3 linked regions of the Drosophila melanogaster genome follow. The protein of the gene in region 2 interacts with the protein of the main gene of each other region in a pairwise test. Each region holds a gene or a part of one and is shown on either strand. Other genes may lie near its edges.

What was found.
Region 1: the proteins of CG5011 (region 2) and fat-spondin interact in a two-hybrid assay, tested with the Drosophila melanogaster proteins (one large-scale study listed by BioGRID).
Region 3: the proteins of CG5011 (region 2) and CG6933 interact in a two-hybrid assay, tested with the Drosophila melanogaster proteins (one large-scale study listed by BioGRID).

What each region holds. Positions count from the first base shown.
Region 1 is NT_033778.4:17,050,878-17,059,870, reverse strand, and holds fat-spondin (fat-spondin), read right to left. Parts: upstream 5,870-8,993; 5' UTR 5,773-5,869; coding exon 5,586-5,772; intron 5,326-5,585; exon of another isoform or gene 5,211-5,325; coding exon of another isoform or gene 4,695-5,210; intron 4,637-4,694; coding exon of another isoform or gene 3,573-4,636; intron 3,509-3,572; coding exon of another isoform or gene 3,139-3,508; exon of another isoform or gene 3,036-3,138; intron 2,938-3,035; coding exon 2,543-2,937; intron 2,483-2,542; coding exon 2,021-2,482; intron 1,959-2,020; coding exon 1,733-1,958; intron 1,680-1,732; coding exon 658-1,679; 3' UTR 572-657; downstream 1-571. Other genes in the region: tef (teflon), read left to right, coding at 3,139-3,508, 3,573-4,636, 4,695-5,210; CG9646 (uncharacterized protein), read right to left, coding at 6,346-6,386, 6,453-6,602, 6,727-8,049, 8,707-8,993.
Region 2 is NT_033779.5:1,197,599-1,202,837, reverse strand, and holds CG5011 (uncharacterized protein), read right to left. Parts: upstream 2,168-5,239; 5' UTR 1,979-2,167; coding exon 1,736-1,978; 3' UTR 1,618-1,735; downstream 1-1,617. Other genes in the region: CG43349 (uncharacterized protein), read right to left, coding at 2,386-2,598; CG43348 (uncharacterized protein), read right to left, coding at 3,260-3,388; CG5139 (uncharacterized protein), read left to right, coding at 3,700-4,239.
Region 3 is NT_037436.4:20,217,931-20,223,552, forward strand, and holds CG6933 (uncharacterized protein), read right to left. Parts: upstream 2,491-5,622; 5' UTR 2,422-2,490; coding exon of another isoform or gene 2,415-2,421; intron 2,306-2,414; 5' UTR 2,174-2,305; coding exon 2,131-2,173; intron 1,734-2,130; coding exon 685-1,733; 3' UTR 572-684; downstream 1-571. Other genes in the region: CG17145 (uncharacterized protein), read left to right, coding at 3,922-3,928, 3,990-4,987.

The sequences.
Region 1 (8,993 bases), on a different chromosome or scaffold from region 2:
AAACACAAGTGCCATTTCGCTTTCGACAGCTAAATTTTTTTCTAAAACAGAAAGCACAAATTGATTTTATTGAAATTTTACATTCTTGTAAATCCCGCGATCCCATTTCCATGAATTTAGGAAACACAATCGATTTTAAAAACTGGACGCGATGTACGCGACTAAAGTGACTGTTTAGTAATGAAATCAAGCGGTGGTCATGTGCCATATTTATAACGCTAACAATATAATGAAGGGGAATTCCATTATATTATTATATTTCAATTGCAGCCGATTTCAAGCTTGTAAAAGTTGTCATTACATTGACTTCTGTTAAGGTATATAACCAATAGATTAACGATGATAGTAGTACATTACCACTTATCTAATGGCTAGAATGGAGCTTACTCATCCCAAGGTGTTTGTTGATCTTTGGGAAGCGGACTAGAAAGCTTTAAGTGATCAAGGGGAAATTCATCGAAAGATCCCTAATCAATTATTGAAGTAAGCACAATGTGTTGTAATTTCTTGTTTAAGTACTTACATATGAATAATTATAAATATACAGTCTCAAAAAAAAAAAAACATGATTACAGTTTCTCAAACGAACTTTATTAAGAAAGAGGAGTAAGATTGTAGTAAGGAGTAAGGATTGTGATGAACAATTGTAACAGCACCTTAGCAAGCCGGCATGGCGCAAGAGCGTGATTTGACCAGGCGCTTGGAGCACGGCTGTCCACCATTCTGGGGCTCGGTGACAACGTAGCGCCGGCTTTCAGAGACTCCGACACCACAGCTAACGCTGCAGGGCGACCAGACGGACCAATCTGACAGGACGCAGGCCCTGGGCTGATCCACTCTTGAGGAATACGGCGACCTAAGCACATTGCACGTATTCAGGCAGTCGTTCTCCGTGAGGAAGTTGTTTCGGTTGCCACGGCATCCTCCGTAGGTAAAGGAGTAGCAATGCTGGTTCTGCGGATCGTAGGCATACCGCATATAGGTGCCACGACAGGGACCTGGGTCCGGTGCCTGTACACAGATGTCCTTGGCCTGCTCCGCGTTAATGTGGCAGTCAATGGGATTGACGCACTCCTTTTGCTGATGCAGCTCCATGCGTTGCGTACAGCTCTCCTTATCGGGTCCATTCTCCAACAGAAGCAGCCGAGTCCGAATGGTAACTCCCCGGCCGCAGGTCGAGGAGCACGGACTCCAGTCGCTCCACTGGCTGGTGGGACATTGCGGATCAGGAAGCTCCACCTGCTCGTATGTACAGTCCGGCCGCATGCACTTGTTCTTTTCCACTATGGTGATATGGGGACATCGCTTGCGTCCCAAATGATTGACAAAGGTGCGCGTGCGCATGGTAATGCCAATGCCACAGCTGGCCGAACACTCGGACCACACGCTCCAGGGAGAAGTTTTGCAGAGACCGGCTCCCTCGCCATTGCTGCCCACCAGGGACTGCGAGTTGGCCAGGTTCTCGCCCTCATCATCGTCACGATCCTTGGACTGGGCTGGGCCATCGGCACATTCGGGTATGGCAGCCACGCACATTTCCTTGGCCACCAGTTGGCGAGCGCATTTGTTCTGATCCGCCGCCGCGGGATACAGATATTGCCTGCTGCGCATGCGGATTCCCTTGCCGCAGCTCACGGAACACGGACTCCAGGCGGAGTAGTCGCCCACTCGACATTCGGCTGCAAAACGATTGATTAGATGGGCATGTTAGTTTCAAGTTGACCAAACCCACCTCTGGTGTCCTGCTCCTCAGCATCGTCGGACACCTCCAACTGAAGAGCCTGCAGGAACTCATCGTCGCAGTTCCGGGAGACAATCTTCTCACGTCTTAGGTATAGCTTGGCAAGTGGTGTCATCTCACGGCTCTTGGGATTATAAAAGGGAGCCCTAGGATCCTCAGGATACATTGTAGTGATGCGATACATCCTTTCCGGAGGTTGTGTCTCCGAGTTGGGTGACTACCAAGGAAGGTCCATTTAATATTTAGGTTACCATGAAATATCAGTTGAATATATATTACCATATAAGAGATGCCGCTATCAGTGCCCGCATCCCATGGAAACAAATCAAAGTCCATTGACTCCTTCCAGCTGCAATCCTCAGTGCAGAGATCCAGACCACTAATGCCCACCACCCAATCGGGAGAAGGACCAAACATGGACACCAGCGATACCTTAGGGTGCTTGCGATCCACCCGGAACTTGGATGAGGTGTTCTGGTTGACATTCGGGTACCACAACCCAGCGGCCTTAATCAGGGTGCGCAACTTGGGCCCGTTCGCGCGCAGCTCCGTTTCTAGAGCAGCCGGAGAACCCCACTCCGCCAGAGAGCGGAATCCGGCGGTGGCTATGTGGTTCTCGCCCCAGAAGGAGAAGTTGGACTCGTGCGAAGCACCAATCACGTCAGAGAAGTGTGTTAACCAGATGGCGAACGGATAATCCTTGGGATGGGTTTCGTTTGACCAGATTCCCTCGAAAACGAACTGAAATTGGAATGACAGTAAGGTGGAGCTCGGAAAAATACGCGGTCTTCTCTGACTTACGCTGTATTTGGCTTCATCGCAGGCGCAGCATTCCTTTTGAGCAGCAGCTGCATCAGGCTTTCGTTCGCAAATCACAGTGGATAGGTTGCCATCGTCGGCGAACCAGGCTCTCGGACCCTCGTAGACCATTGCTGACAAAGAGACACAGCCAGAACCCGACTCCGGAGCCACCCACATTACCTGGACTTCTGTTTTGGGCAGGTCGTCCGCCTCGGAAACCGTGTTCACGCATCTGTCGTTGAACTGGGTCAGGGAGTCACTAAACAGCTGGAAGCGGCCCACTCGCCGGGGACTAGCTGCCTGTGGACGACGGGCGCCAGTGTGTGCCTCCGCAGTAATGGTAAAGTGGGTGAAATGCTGAACTTTCAAGTGAGTCCGGGATCCAAGTAGAAGTACTACCAAATTTTTTTAAATTCAAAATTCGATTAAAAAAACTACGTATCGATTAAAGGGAATCGATGCCATCACTGGCACTAGCACTGTTATCGACAAATTTATGTACCTATAGTTGTCTCGCTCTTTCAGCCCTCTTTTTAAGACGACGCGCGATTGTAATTTGTTAATATTATTAAGTCTTTAGTCCTGTGATTTTTATAATGTCTAAGTTTCTGGACATGCTATCGGGGAGCCAGTGCGTCAGCCTGGAAAAGTGCGGCGATGTGGTGGTCTCAACCAACGACTGTATGATTGCACTTTACTGCCACTTCTGCCGTGACCTCTTCACACAACTGCCGGAGTTCTTAAGACACCTCCAAAGCAACCATTCGGATGTGCTGCACTTCACCAAGGAGCACAACGTTTACAGCGTGGAGGAGCTGTTGTCCGGTGAGCAGGGTAAAGCCCACGAGGACGCCCAGTCGGCGGGGCACAACAGCAGCAGCGGTGACTCTAGTTCACTGATGAATTCAGAGGATTCTAGGGCCATCGAAGGCTCAGAAGATAACTCAGACAATAGCCCAATGAAACGTAAGAATGTGATGGCATATCGTTATAAAGTATTATTATTAATATTATCATTATTATCCCACAGCTGAACAAATAGGGAAACAGAGTGAAATAAACCTGCTAGCGGAAGTGACAAACATTTTATTGCAAACCAACGACAAGGAATTAAAACCCGAAAATGGCGTATTCAACAGACCACGCAAAAAGGCTAATAACGAGAGCAGTTCTTTGAAGATATGCGATCTGAAGAGTCACACTATTGCAAGGACTTCGCGAAAGCGAATGAGCATGGTAAAGAACCGCATCCTGCGAGTCCTTGACAGCGATTTGTCTGCAAAGCTTGAAATTAAACCTCCAGAGCCCAACTCCAAACTTTCTATAACTGAGCCCATCCAAGAAGACAACATACCTGGAACATGTTTTGACACTCCTACAAAGCCCATACCGAGCTCATCTCAATTAAGTGTAAGAAAGTCTTCTTTAACAGAGGCAAACCAAATATGTACCAAATATGCCGAGAAGAAAACGGCGCCTACCATGCCTAAGCTACTGAACTGTGTACCAAAGCCCATATTAACTAGTCAACAAGCTCATACTAATGCCGAGATAAGTGAGATAAATGAAACCTATCACCTAGCAGCTAGTCAAGTGACAAAAACCACGAAAACATTTCCCGTAAAAATAACACAAATAGATATTTTACAACCAGTTAAGTTACCTAAAACTTTAATAACACCAATCAATGAAGAGGGTGTCAGTGACCAAGTGGAGAATAGCACGAATAATATAAACAATGCCCAAAGTCTGCCGAAAGAAAACACAAAAAAGTTTTTTAAAAAGCGTAGCGAATTAGGGATAAAAGCTCAAGGCAGTCCCAACAAATTTTTTAAAATAATAAAGTCCAAGGCAAACCCCATTATTGTAAAACGGGTGCAGACCACCAGTGCCAAAGCTAGTACAAACAAAATCCAAATACGATCTAATGACAAAACTAATTGTTTTGCTTCTGAGTTTAACAGCACAAAGATCCGCAAGTTAAAGATGGAAAATTGCGTCGACCTAAAATCGGAAGATCCCTGCGCCAATACAAATACGCGTTTAAACAAATTGGCAACAATAAGCAGTTGCGAAATATTAAAAGCGGTTGGAGTAAGCACTTGATACGAATCATTGCACATTTCACATCTCATATCTTAATCCATTTTAGTTGCCGGCAATCACAGATAACCCGATCGAGGATACATTATTGCCAGACGAGTTAGAAACGATCCGAAAAAAGGCAGATCAATTCATCAAAATCTACAGGAAGTACGATTCTATTTGGAATTATAGAAAAATTTGTCCGCCAGCGAAACCGGACTTTATTTCTCAACAGATATTTGCTTTAACCAGAGAAGTTAACAAGACAATGTTATGCAACCTGGCGAACAGCGATATAAAAGGCATTATTAATCAGATTTCAGTTTGGCATTACAATATATATACCCAATATATTGACTTGGATACCATTTCGGAAAATGCCCGATATACTTTAAAGCTATTCTCGTTTTTACCTGTTAGTTTTGCTTACTTTTGCAAATGTTGCGACGATATTTTCATCTTAAAGAAAGAGTACTTAAAGCATTTGATTTCTCACCAAGTTCGGTTTCAGTGCACAAAATGCATTAAAGTATTCAAGTACAAGGGATACTATGAAAAGCATTTGCGAAACGCTCATTCTTAAGCCACAATGTGTCATTTAGTCATGGTTACATATATTTTTTCTAACCCTACATAAAGTTATGTATTTATTAAATAAAAAGGAATTCCGAAAAGCTAATGCTAACCAATTTGTCAATAAATGTTATATTTTGATTTTAATAAATTTTTCTAATAAATCAAAACGTTTTATAAACTAAATGCTTTAAAGTTTCTTTATCACTACAAAAAGATTAGGTACAAATTAACACAGAAAGCGTTATCAAAATAGCAACTGGACTGACAAGATGGACAACATCACCATCTGCTCTGGATTCTCTTATCATTTCGATGGCTTTTGTTTTTAGTTCTCGAATGACCCCGATGATTACAAAACCAACTAGCTACCTTCCCGACTTACAATTATACGTCTTGCCGGGCACATAGCCGTTGGGTCCATCGGCCACAATTAATTTGTATCCATTGTCGCCGCGTGTGCGTCGACCGTGGTTCAAGTGGGTGGGCGCCCGGGGACATGCGGTGACCATACTAATTGTCAGCCAGATCACAACGATGAGGCGGATGAGCAGCGGCAGCGATTGCCCCATCTCCAGTGCTTTATTTCCCGCGTTATCACTTGACTCGATTACAAAGCTCAACTGCAGCAACGACCGTTTCCAGCGAGGCTCAAAAACAGACTAATCAAGCCGGAGAGGCGATAGAGCTATCTTCAAGTCGAGCGACCGACCCGATGCCGGATGCTTCGGGAACTCTGATTACAAGCATTACTCGCGAGATGGTCTTGACTTTCATCCATTGGCTCCTCCAATAATTCCTCTTTACTCTCGTGTCTTTTCTATTCCGTATATATTTCATGGTATAAATTTTGCCGTACAATTTACAAATAATATTACAATTATATATTTCCATATCATCGGTAACAGAGCTCACTATCGTAGTTTGTAGTTCATAAATTTGTAGGTTTGCTTTCCGCTCCCGAAATAGTGTGAATCGTGAGGATTCGCCTTAGGAAACTCAACATTGGTCGAGAACATAGCATATATACTGATAAATCAAACTGGGACTGATCACACAGACTGGTCACACATTCGATCGATAAATAGGGAATACATGTGAGAACTATAAAGCATATAAATCACAATTGCCAGATAAAGTTAATACTAAAAGGTCAGAATAGGCGTTTCCCGGTGATCCAAGAGATCTGAAAAAAAAAGTATTTTACATCAGAATGGCGAATATTTTTGAGGTAGGTCTTCAAGTAGCTCACCTTTTGCAATGCTCCACCAGGGCAGTGTCACATATGTGAGGAATGCATTTAGCGGCGTTGACTGCTGTCTTCTATTCTCCTTCCAGAAATGAAAAGATTGCGTAAAGCCTCGACTGGTCCATAGGGGATTATAAGCGCCATCGTCGAGCTCTAAAAGTAGATAAGAGGCTCACGGAATTAGTTTATGTTAGTCGGAATTATTGAAATGTAAGTACACGAAAATCGAAGTACAAAAAAATTAAATATAGTTGAAGTAAAAAGCCTAGGAAATAACCTTTTATTGCCTTTTTGGGCACATCGCACCAATAGTAGATGTTAGTGCCATCGGGTGTTCTGCGCTTGGGAACCAAATGCAGCATCTTGCTGACATGAGCTTGCTTGGCTGTTCTCGGAAGAGTAGCACTATTGGCCTCCCCGTTGCCATTGGCCACATCCAGCATGGGTGTAAGTTCCGTGGGCGATATCACGTTTGTAATATCGCTCTGCTCGTTCTCATTGTTCTCGTCCGGCTGCAGCAGATGACTCTCCGGCTCCACAGGCAAGCTGACACACTTTTCGAATCGTTTTGGCGGAGTCTTGGGCGAATCCACGACCGGCAGCTCTTCTCGTCCACGCACACTAATCATTAGCTTGCTGTCGCTCTCACTTAGGATAACCATCTTGGCGGCTCCAACTGGTTCCGATTCACTACCATTCAGGGAGGTAGCATCATCGGCGATCTCGTACTCCTCCGATTTGGAAATGTCAGGCTTTGGATTGTTATTATTAACAGCTTTTTTCTTAGCTGCATCCATTGCCTTGAACTTGTCCTTTTCCTTCTCCTTGTTTCCATCTTTGTCCTTGTCCTTCTCTTTGCCTGCTTTTAGCCGCTTGGGCGACATCTTGGCCAGAAAGTTGGTAGCTGAGCCGTTGACCTTCTGATTTGAAGACTTCTTGTCGTTCTCCTTGTTTTTGTCCTTTTCTTTCTCCTTGTCCTTCTCGAGATCCTTGGCTTTGGCCGTGCGCAGTCTTGGAGGTATGATCCTCTTGGTGGCCACTGGGAGGCTGGTCCTGCGATCAGCAGCACTCAGGGAGGCACTCCTCGTAATGCTGCCACCCTGTTGCTTGCGTTTGATCTCTGATGGCAGTCGGAAACTGCTTCTTTTGCCCACGAGCAGCTCACTCTCCACACTCAGGATGCTGCTTTTTGGCTTGAGACGGGTGGGCCGCTTGTCGGGCATCTTGGCCAGACAGGCGGGCGACTCGTTGGACGGATCCTCGCAACTGGGGCAGTACACCTCGGACATTTCCGGGGTGTCCGTGTTCTTGGCAGACGCCCAGCGCTTCTTACACTTTTTGCCACCAAAGCAATTGCAGCCCGTAGTTGAGCTATGTCCAGTAACGCTGACGTCCCCGGAAACTGTGACCTCCACGGCGGCACTCAATGGAGGCGGAGTAACAGCAGGAACAGCGACTTCCGCTGGAGCAGAGGAAGTACTCTCTCTAGGAGATTCTTGGGTCAACTTTTCTTGGTCACCAGTCGCGAGTTTATGTGTCTCGCAGTTCGGATTTGGGTGCAGTTTTGCCGCTGAGGCCGAGAAAGCAGGACGTTGCTGATCTACAAGTAGATAGATCGGTTTTTGCGTTTTAAAAGCATATACATCGACACACATGTACAACCGATGATCGGCCCAAGCAACTTAATCGATAATTGGCAACAGAAAGCAGTGGAAATAATAAACCAGAATAGGGAAACACAAATATAAACTAGGCGATCGATCGATAATAGGTGGATGAATGGATGTCTAATGAATATACAGTCAAGCCACCAAACAATTTCTAAAGGGAATTGGGAATAGGGACGGGACTACGGAATGTGGTGAACGATTCCCGTTTAAAGCGAAATCCAGTGTCAAACAATAAGCCAAACGAAATATAATTTTGGTTGTCCTTAGTGTATTATTTGTCCTGCTTTCTCGGCAATGTCTGGTGTTCTCTTTATATATATACTCTGGAGTCGTTCTTAGGGGCACACTTAAAGTATATATATAAATTCGATAGTTGGAAGTTTTAAAAGGAAAATCAATGGAACGACAACACATTACGAGAAGTAAATCAGGAATATGAACGGAAAATGAAAGGAGCAAGCGGAAAAGCAGCTTTAATTTAACTACGGCAACAACTGTAAGCAGTAATACAATTCTAAATATCATGCAACTTAAGGATGCTCAAATGAATAGGAAACAAGGATAAAGAAGTACATGTTCAGACTGACCGTCGCGCAAATCTCCAGCCTCGATTTCGGACACCTCGCTAGCCAGCGAGTCCAGTCCCTCGTTCTCCGATCGCGCCTTGGCTCCCACACTGGGGCTGGTGCCACTGCCCACCATATCCTGGTTATTCGAGTTCTTCGTGCGCCACCCGTACCGTGAGAAGTTATTGAGATTGGCACTAGGATCGCTAAGGCGTCTCTGATGTCGATAGGTGCAATAGTCGTCGTTCTCTTCCTCCCACTCGTCCCACATGTCAGTGGCGCAGAATCCCGGCTCGCTGGTGGGTGTC
Region 2 (5,239 bases):
CACATTTCTCTTTCTCATTTGACGGAAAGTGGGGCTAACTAACTAACATCCCTAATATAAATCAAAATTAAGTTTAAATACAATTACACTTAGATGTAGTTATTATCTTCCCAGTTTTCAACTTTTTTAGAAACAACTTTTATTCGTAAATATAATCAGATGGAGCTAGTAATCGCTCCTCCACTGTGCCCCCCTTTTGGTGGCGGTCAAGTTGCCCGCTTCTAAGCAGCCGAACGCCGCCGCAATTTATCGAGTGTATTGAGTCAGTCTACGTGCTGCACATAAACCGCACTTATCTGGCTGACTGACTAACTGACTGGCTGAAGGATGTGGGCTATGCACATCCCATCCAGGATCCGCAGCCCACTTTCCTCCGGGGTGCGCTTCCTGCCATTGAAAGCCGATAGCCGACGGAGAGCGAGCCAAGAAAAATTGCATGCGGTTAGGAAAGCGAGCAGCAAAATTAATGTGTCTGCCCCGGCTGAAGTTGCCCCCAGCTCCAGCTCCAGCTCCAGCACTAGCTTCAGCTTTAGCTCCAACTACAGCTCTTGCTTCAGCTGTGGATGCTCCGCAGTCCGGACCGCGTCCATGTCCATGTGCTGCCACCCGAAGAAGCATCCATCCTTAAGCAAATAGACGGACGGAACGTGTCCGTGGCCATATCAAAATGATGTATGTGTGTTAGATTTGTTATAAATTTTATTTGCCGTTTGCTTGATTTTTACCCGGGTCTGTTCCATTAAACAACCCACCCACCCCGATTCGATTGGGATTCGACCGCAGATGCAGTCAATTATTAAACGCCTGAGTGATTGCGGTCACAAACGGGGTGGGTCTATTGCGAAAATCGCATGTATTACACTAGTTATCCAGCCAGAAGGTCATAACCATATCAGCCAACGTGGCGGATGAGTAATATATTCTTTTTAAAAACAAATTTTGTCTATGTGCTCCCATTATTAAGTAGCACTGTTAAAATACTGTTATATTCTAAATAAGTCTTTAAAGTTATATATTATATCATCCCTTTGTACTTTCCCTAAAAATCAACAGTGGCGTACCCCAAAAATCACCTCAACAATCTAAGTTAGGTTCTGACTAATGTAAGCAAATGCGTATTTCCTATCGATAAGATTGCACAGCTTTATCTAGCGTTGAGTTGAAGTAACTCATTGATAAGGTTTACAACAGGTTTATATGCATGATTACTAATAGTTCAGCGTTCAAAATAAAAACAAAAATATTATTCTTGAACAAATGGAATGGAAAAGAGCCAATAAATCAAAGATATGCTCAGTTAAGAATTCATGACATTCGACTAATACGATAAGCCCACGTATTAATAAAGAATCCAGTGATTGATTGACTGATTGATTGATTGTTTTCCTAGTGAAATATTAGTAATGACGTGTTACCTCAAGAATTTGATAGTACCCGAAAATAAGCTATCATAACGCACCTAAAGAATGACGACTTTTTCAATGGATTATCTTTATGACGGTCCTATGGGAATTCCAAAAAACCGTCCTTATCTTATTAGGCGCATATATCATCATACTCGAAATGGGATTGTTTGTTGGCATAGAAGCTACAAGTAATAAAACTTGAATCACACATAGGCGTGACTAACTAAAGTTAGTTTATATATTTAAAAGCAGCATATTTTTTAATCACACACAAATGTACATTTGTTGATATCACACTATATTAACCGATCTAGATTACAGTTCAGTTCTTATCGCGGATGCATTGGAGGTCCTGGGGCCACGTATCCTGGACCATATGGATACGGACCATGCGGCGGCGGAGGATTGTAGCCGGAGCTGTTTCCGTGAGGAGGTTCGTGGTAAATCGGATGCACTGGCGTGTGGAACGGGGGCTGTGGTTCATGGTGCGGAGGTCCATGGTGCGGTGGTCCGTGGGGCGGTGGCCCATGAGGCGGCGGGTTGTGGTGGTGGTGCGGTGGTGGAGGAGGCATCTTTGCTTGGCGGGCTTCTGTTGTACACTAAACTGGCTCACTCCTGCCAGACCTTTTATACAAAAGTAACATAGTTTCAGTAGGCTGTAATCTTATCTGCATTCTAGTGGAGAGGGACTTTCTTTTATATATAATTGTCTACCTTATCTGCTGGCTTTTTGATACTTAATCATACTTAATCAATTCTTGCTTCAATATTCTTCTAATTGCTTATTAGAATCAGTATCTTTATAATGGTGTTATAAAATTAAACAATTTCTAAAATAAAAACATTTTGCTCTTGGTGAAACTAACTAGAAGTTAGTGAAGATATTTTAATGTTAGTTTGTGGCTTAATCACAGTTAACGATTAAGTTTTTCCATATCAGTTTATAACGTTAAATTCGGCTTATATTGTATTATAGTTCTCATCGAGGATGCATTGGAGGACCGTGGTGTGGTGGTCCATGATGATGGTGGTCGTGGTGCGGAGGTCCATGGTGCGGCGGTCCGTGGTGTGGTGGCCCGTGATGCGGTGGCCCGTGGTGTGGAGGACCATGGTGCGGTGGCCCATGGTGGGGAGGTCCATGGTGTGGTGGCCCATGATGATGGTGGTGGTCGTGGTGCGGTGGAGGTGGCATCTTGACTTTTCTGACTTTAGTTGAGTACTAAGCTAAAGCCTATCCTGTCAAACCATTTATAGGAAAATGATTCGAATACGTTGTAATCTTATCTAAATTTCAGATAAGACGAGCCCAGTTCGGTTGATAAGTAAGTTTCGGGTTTTCCCACAACAACACTTCGCTCAATAAAAACAAATGTATGACATTCGAAATTAGTAATAACAAACAAGCGAATTGTTTACTGATATGTCTATATGTGACTTAAAGAATAAGTTAATGACGACTTTGCATGTAGTTCATAAGTACAACAATATGGAGATGTTATAATATTTTATTTTTGTAAGCAACAATCAGCAACAATCAGCAACAAATTCTTAAGCTTAGTACGTTGCACTTAGGACGTGTATTATAATTTAAAAAGCATTTAGATCTTCAAATCATATGTATGCTTTGTTCAAATTAATGGAAGCTTAGAATGCATTAAGCAGTATCACCAATTCAAGATCATAAACATTGAAGATATAGAAAAGAGTAGAGCTATGTATTTTGTACAGGCTTTTATTTCTTTGGTTTGAAGAGTTTTTAAGACTTTCTATTAGAAACTAAGTTCCCTAAAAAGTATCCATCTTGTTTTGTTCTGTATAAAATTGAATCTTATTTATAGTCCTTGTCCATGGGCCTAGTGATGTCCGTGATGGGGCTTCGGATCTCCGTGGTGAGGGGGATGCGGTCCTGGTTGGTGATCCCCAGGATGCGCAGGACCCTTCGGTGGGTGCGGTTGGTGGGGCTGGTGCGGTGGTGGTGGCATGTTTCCAAAGCGATTTCCGTTCTGAACTAAAGTATTACCCCGATTTCCACGCTATATATAGTGACGAAAGACTGCTGGAGGCATTGGTTTTCCCATTAAAACATTTTATCAGCCTGTTTTGCGATAAGGTGAGTACTTGGTGGTCATATCGGAATTTCCCTATGACAACGCAACGAGAAAATCACACATCTAGCTTCCCTGATTTTTCAATCGAACAGGATTTGTATATTCGTATGATCTTTTGAAGTGGGAGGAGTGTGCATTCTTGTATTCAAATTTTTTATTGTATAAAATTTTCTCGTGAACAAATTATGGAAAAGAATCTGTGGAATACGCTGCAGGAAGTCGAGCAAGTCGAGGTTGCTTTTAAGCAGACCTTGAGAAACATTACCGATATCCAGAACCGATACAAAACGGTTTCGGCCTTGAAGAGCAAGGCCTCCAGGCGCCAGGAATCCTTCGAGGCGGAGATCCAAGGTGCCATTACAGCACCCAATCCTGCCAAGAAAAGGAGGGTGGTCAAGAAGAGCAAGATCAATATCTTGAAACAGAGGAGTCTGCTACCAATGCCAGTACCCAATCTCAGATCGGAAACTATCCTGCAGGTGGAGGAGCCTTTTGTGTGTCTCGAAACGAATTGCGTCTACGAAATACACAAGACAACCACTCACCTGATGGCGCGGAAACCATATGGAGCTCTCATCCGGCGACTGTATCGGTCAGCCAGGCGGAAGAGGATGTACGACCAGGAGCAGGAACAGGATCAGGAACAGGTTGAGGAACAGGATCTGTATCCAGACATGGAATGTTACCACTGCTGCTGCTCAGCGTGTTGCATAGAGTGCAGATAAATTTGTTCGTGATTGTATATAGCATATTTTTGGGCTTTCACAAAGCTTCAAAGTTTGTAGCAAGCATTTTATGTGATAATAAATAAATTGTACTTGTCCAAATGAACAGCAACAGCTATTTGCTGGCTAGTAACAATTTCATTGAATTTATTTGAGTTGTACCTCGGGTTTTCCTCGATAATTTTTTCAATAACTAGCCTGAGCATCGATTACCTCTGTCTCTCGACAATAAAAACAGGCAAGGAAGCCAAAACAAAGGAACGTTTGCTTACCTACGAGTCGCACTTTGTATGGGCAACTTAAACGCTAATGGCATAAACATCCGAGACGTGAGCGAAATGTTTAAAACGCGCCTTTTGAAGCGCAGGATGCCAGGACGACGGGACGGAAGCCGAGGTTTAGCGACTGTAATGTGGCCGCCGCCCAAATCAAATCTCAAATCATGCACGTTTCCATCGTGGCCAGCGGGAAAGCCGGGGAAATGCGCCGCGCAGGGGAAAAGCGCCAGGAGCAGAAACCGAAACCAGGATAGCAATCCGATGACGAGCACTGCACTCCCTGCACGGGCGAAATTGTTTGAAAATTCAATTCACACATTTGCCAGTTGTCGATGATTTTCTGTGATTTTGACTCGGCCTGCTCCTCGTCCTTCTCCTCCACCTCCTCCTCGTCGTCGTCGTGCCCACCAATGCTAATGGCAGAGCCAACTTCTTGCTGCCTCATCCGCAGCCACAATTCGGCCTACGACTTTGGGGTTTTTCATAGAATTCTGGCTATGCGCACACTCAAGAAGAATCTAAGTATTTCTTTTTTTTAATATTTAACAGAATTTACTTGGCTATGAAAGTTATTTGTTTGATCTCTGCCAATATTCAAAAACAGTTTCTTCAAGATTAACTTAGTGCATTTATATGCATTTTTCACACCGACTTTTCGCTCAGTGTATGCTCGTCCTTTTCTGGTTTTCCAGCAAATAAGTGGAAAATCGCAACGAATTGTT
Region 3 (5,622 bases), on a different chromosome or scaffold from region 2:
AAGTTAATATTCTAATACAATTTCACGTGTCTCTTTTATTTTTGATCTGTCCTTTAGCTTGGTTCAACAGCGACTGACTGCCGCGCTCTCTGCAGAGTGGCGAGTCGATTAGTCGATAAGTTTCTCGATAATATTTGTATGTTAAGGATGGGTGTATGAGTGTATAAGCTTATGACTAGATTGGCTATGTATAATTAGGTATGTATGACTAAGAGTAAAGGAAGAGGGTAGAAGGAGCAGCCTACTACAATACTAGGCTTTGAAGTACTGAATTCAAAACAATATCTCAATGCTGACGTCAATCAAGTAACTTCTCCAGAAATTTCCCAAGCAATGGGGTTTTACTGTTCCACCTTCTTCTAATACAATAGATGGAGGCCATTGAATTTTTTTAATTAATTATTTAATTAACTTAGCTTGGCAGATAACATTTACAAATACCCATCCCGCAGAAATTATATTTATATTTTGAGGCACATTTTCTGTGAGCCTCTTTTTGAAAGATTTGCTACCAAAAAGGCGAACAACTAATCAACAATTTCAAAAACAACAACATTTAAAACAAATTTCGCTTGGTCGAAGTCAACATTTTTATTAGTTTCTTTTGAATGCCTTCAGCATTGGTATTTATTTATATATTTCATAAAAGGTATCTCGGCAAACAGACGTGGCTGGAGGAGATGCTCATGTACTAGCCGTCGAATTACAAATGGCGTAATCGGGAATTTTGGTGGTGCAGATATTGTTCACCTCGTCGTAGTACGGCGCATTGGTGGGACATGATCCGGTTATTCCGCTGGAGCAGATTGTGTAGTTCTTGCAACCCTCATCTGCCATGAATGGATTGTTAACGTTCCCACATCGGTTATGGGTACAGACAAAGGAGGCTGGCGAAACGCACTTGCCAGCATTGAATTGGGTACCGGTGGGACATTGGTTCCAATAGCCAGTGGCGTTTACTGCTGCACAGTAGTAGTACCCATAGCAGGTGACACCATCAGAAACGTACCTATAGTCAACAGATTCCCCATTTACAGTAAGTGGATCTGCTGCTTTAAAAGCTTCTTCGTCACAAGCAGTTGCATTTGTTTGCCCAACAGTGAACTGGTCAGAGTTTCCACTGTTTGAATCTTCGCCGGTGCACGGATTCGTCGACTGGCAGTTGCCAGTGGCTTTATTATAGTAGGGATTGGCGGTGCTGGAACATTTTTCGGAAGTGCCATAGCCGTTGACGCAGTTGATGTAGTTGCCGCACTGGTTCGGATCGCCTACAAAGATGTTGGACAACATGAACCGACAGATGGTGTCCTGCGGGCAGGCGGGTCCCCATATACATTTTGTGGAGGATGCCGAATAGACGCCGCCGGTGCCGCAATCGCCATAGGAGATTTGGCCTGTGCCATCGCAGTAGGCGTATTCGGTGCAGTTCAACGGATTGGCCACATACATGGGAGATTTGACGTTGGAGCATGTCTCAACGGCACTGGTGGAGCACACCGTGGTATTAGCGTAATCACAGCTGCCGGCCTGCGCGTTGAACACCAAGCCGTTGGGACAGGTGCCCCAGGCCACAACCTCCTGGTTCTTGCAGTATCCCCAGGCATGGCAGTTGCTCGGATTGCCGATGTATCCATAGCCCGACCACTGTTGGCACAGATCATCCATCGTGTAGCCGGTGGCCTGCGATGCCATTAGGAGACATGCGGCCACGACACAGATCCTCATATTGATTGCTAAATGGGGGATACAGGGGGATACGAACTATGAATTATTAAATAAAATATAGACATGTGTAATCGTCGAATAGTTTTCTATTTTGTTTGTACTTAATAATGCAAAGAAATTATGCTAGAAACGACAAAATTGATAGCTTTCAATCCAAAATTCGTGTTAGCGTCTCTAAAATTGGTTAAGCCTTTGTTGTAGCCAACACGGCAGCCCTTTTTTTGGATAAAAAATCAATTAAGGACGAAAGAAAAACTCAATTTGAGTAACAAATCGAAATTTGAAAGTCATTTTAGCCATTTTTGAAAGTCATCTCCTTTGCAGGAGAATTTCAGGGCCTTAAAACCATGTTTGAAACCACTTTTCAAAATTTAGTCGAAGCAAGACGTCTTGAATACTGTGCACCTGAGATAACTGTATCCGTTCTTCGAGCCAACGTACCTCCCATCTTGGAATGCTAATATTTTTCGGGGACAAATTCACTTGATAGACAGACGACCGAAGCGAACGTTCCGATTTCGTTACTAACTCAATCAATTGCAGCCTTTGCGTTTTTATAGTTGACAATTCGCGGCGCGAACTGGGTGGGTAATTAAAAAATTGTCAGCCAGATAAGCCAGCCGCCAGTAGGGCGTTAGTATCGAAATTAATGCTAGATAAGATTCTAAGGTCTGGGGTAAACCACGCACCTTGCATCCCTCCGAAGTTGTTGGGTTAGCTTGAAGGCGGTTCGAAGGCGTTGGACGACGAAAGTGAAACTAGCGGACCCGGCCAAAATGGACTGGCTTATAAGCTCAAATCGATTCTTGGCCAGCGGACACCATACATACTTAGTTTAGTATGTATATATAGTTTATATATATTTTTATACGTTGACAGCCGCGCCGGAATTTGGATTATCAGCTGCTGATTGCGAACCCTCTTTGTCTATAATTGTTTTTTAATTTCGAAGAAGCTCGAGGAGGCGGGAAAGTGTCACGGCTCTTATTGATCACTCAGTGGTGTTTCCCTGGTATCTCGGCACTCATTTCAGCAACACGACATTAGTTAGATATCTCAATTTGAATCGCACTGCGACTCTTGACTTGACTTGACTAGACTTTCCTCTGAAGGTTATCAGGTTCTGGGGAAAAATTACCGAACTACAAATGTTTATATTAATAACTTGTCCAAAAGAACCGTTTGAACTGAAATACAAAATAAATAAATCGCACTATGAAATTATGAAATTATGAGTTATATATATTTATTTATTTGTATGCATAATTAAATAGTACAATTATATGCAAGTATTTTGAAATTTTATTATCTATCTATATAATCTATAAAAATAATTGATGTTAATGTTTAATAACAAAAACCCCATTTTTTTAGTCAGTTTTATTTTCCGTTAAACTATTTTAAATCTATCCGCCTTATTTTATTGTTTCGCCTAAAAGCGAGTTTTGTCCGTTTAGAAATTCGCCCATAAGTATGCAATGACATTTAAACACTTTACTCGATACTTTTTCCAAATCACAAGGCATTTTCGAAGTAATTTAAATTCTTAAAAAATAGTTCAAGCTACGTGCTTATTTACTTTTTATATTTAATTGGTAGAGTACTAAAAATGTTTTTTTTTTTATAATAAAGAAGGGAAGCTCTCTATTAACCCACTAAGCCTTATGAATTAAACCAGCTGATCTTGCTCTTCATTTTATTACTATTTTTTGGCCGAAATGATAACTTATCTACTTCCTATTTAATTTACCGGTAGCCAATTGGCAATCTCCAACTTGTTTATAAAATCACCATTCACTACGACTAGAAATCACCCAGTACTTTAGCAACGAAAAATATAATTAATTTTTTCTGAAGTAAAATTTTATGAATGCTCCTTAAAAACATTAAATTTATAAATACAATTTTATCAAACATTCCCATTTTTTGTGCTCTATCATTTACCTTTTCAAAAATATTATATAGCAAATCCCTAAGCAAAATCAATACATTTGATTGTAATCTTCGAGCTTTTAACAAATGACTTCTATTCATCTTTATTTAACCCATCTTACCCAGTTGAATACCCCTCAAAAACCAATCCGCTTATCTTGCCAGCAAATAGTGATTGCTGCTTATCCTCTGATATTTATAAGTAATCGCAGGTCGACGTTCAGATTCAGTACGAGTTTATGCTTTGTCCAAAGTTGAGCTGTAATGGAAAGTGAGTGGATTGCAAACTGCCAGTGGTGTAAATCTAACTTTATTGTTTTTTCAAATTGCAGAATTTGGTGCCATACTGGGCGTGGCACTGGTGCTACTGCTTCAAGGCCTAGATGTGGTTAATGGCCGGAATGAGGACATCTGCCGCTTGTTCTCCAATAATACGGTGATCCGAGATCCCGAATCCTGCAGTCAATCGATCACGTGCATCGATTCCGTCAGCTACTACAGTACATGCACGGGATCTACTCCGTTTTTCGACAAGGACACGGGCAAATGCGTTAAGTCACTGTCCACTTCCACGTCCAGCTGCTCGATATCCTGCGCGGATCGGGCCAAGCAATTCGTGGCCGACCCCAAGTCCTGCTACGGCTACTATTACTGTGCGGACGAGGAGACGGCCTTGTACGGCACCTGTCCGCAGGAGACGCACTTCAATGCCACCACCCAGATGTGCTCCCGCCAACACGAATCGGATTGCACCACCAGCACCTTCGAGTACTGCAGCATTGTTAAGAACGGCGTAAACTTCGACAATCTGCAGGGCTGCAATATGTATCACGTCTGTGAGAAGGGCGTCCTGAAGGACAAGACATGCTCGAAAACCTATTATCAGGCCAGCACGGGCGAGTGTGTGTCCAAGGCTCTGGTGGACTGCGATGCCCATCCGTTGCCCACGGATGTCTGCGGCAAGGCCAGTAAGCCCTACGAGAACAAGTTCGTCGCGGATGAAGCCACCTGTCGCGGCTACTTCTACTGCGCCAAGCAGAAGGATGGCACCCCGGACCCCAATCCGGTGTGGAACCAGTGTCCCCAGGACAGATTCTTCGATGCGAGCAGCCAGATGTGCATAACCCCCAGTTCGGTCTATTGCTCCCACGATCGTTGCGACGGTCGGACTGCTAGTTTTGTCGTTAGTGCCACCAAGGGCTGTCGCAACTATCTGAGCTGCTCCGACGGGGTAACCGTGAGCGAGAGGTCCTGCGGCAACTACTTCTTCGACGACCAGCAGGGCGCCTGCACTCCAAGTGTCCAGACCTACACCGCGTGCAAGACGTAGGCATGTATTTCCAATAAAGCTCAGAATGCAATGTGATATTTGGTTAAGGAAGTGTTGTAATGAAGTGCACTAGTTTGGATTCTTTCGGGGACTGTGGAACCTGGATTGTCATAGATATAGATACGCGGCTCTCTAGCGAGTTCGTGTTTATGCACAATGACAAGTTTCTGCTGTAAGCCAGTATCTTTGCTGTAACTCGAGGATCGTAGTTGAGATATATTGTTTTTTTACCCGTTTTTATAAGAACGTAGATTGTTTTCGTTGCTCTAATGCTTAAGATTAGCTACCAAAAAGAACAATAATCTTAAACAAGTTCTAGTTCGAAATTCGAATAAATAATATCTGATGGGTGAGTGAAGAACACCTGTATTTTGTTTAATATTCCTGGAACAATTCAGCTGAAAACTAGGTAAATGAACAAATAGAATTTTAAGAATTCACTCAATCATGGAAACTTTTCTTGCAGGTGGTAACGATGGAATAGCATGGCCTCACCGAGGAGACCATAAATGATAATCACTGTCCTATTCGTTGGTTACAATCAATGTTTTCAAAAGTTCTGATTTTCCAAACAAAAACCTATCGAAAGCGACAGTGAAATAGCAAGGCAGTATATTTTAAAAGGTTGTCATATT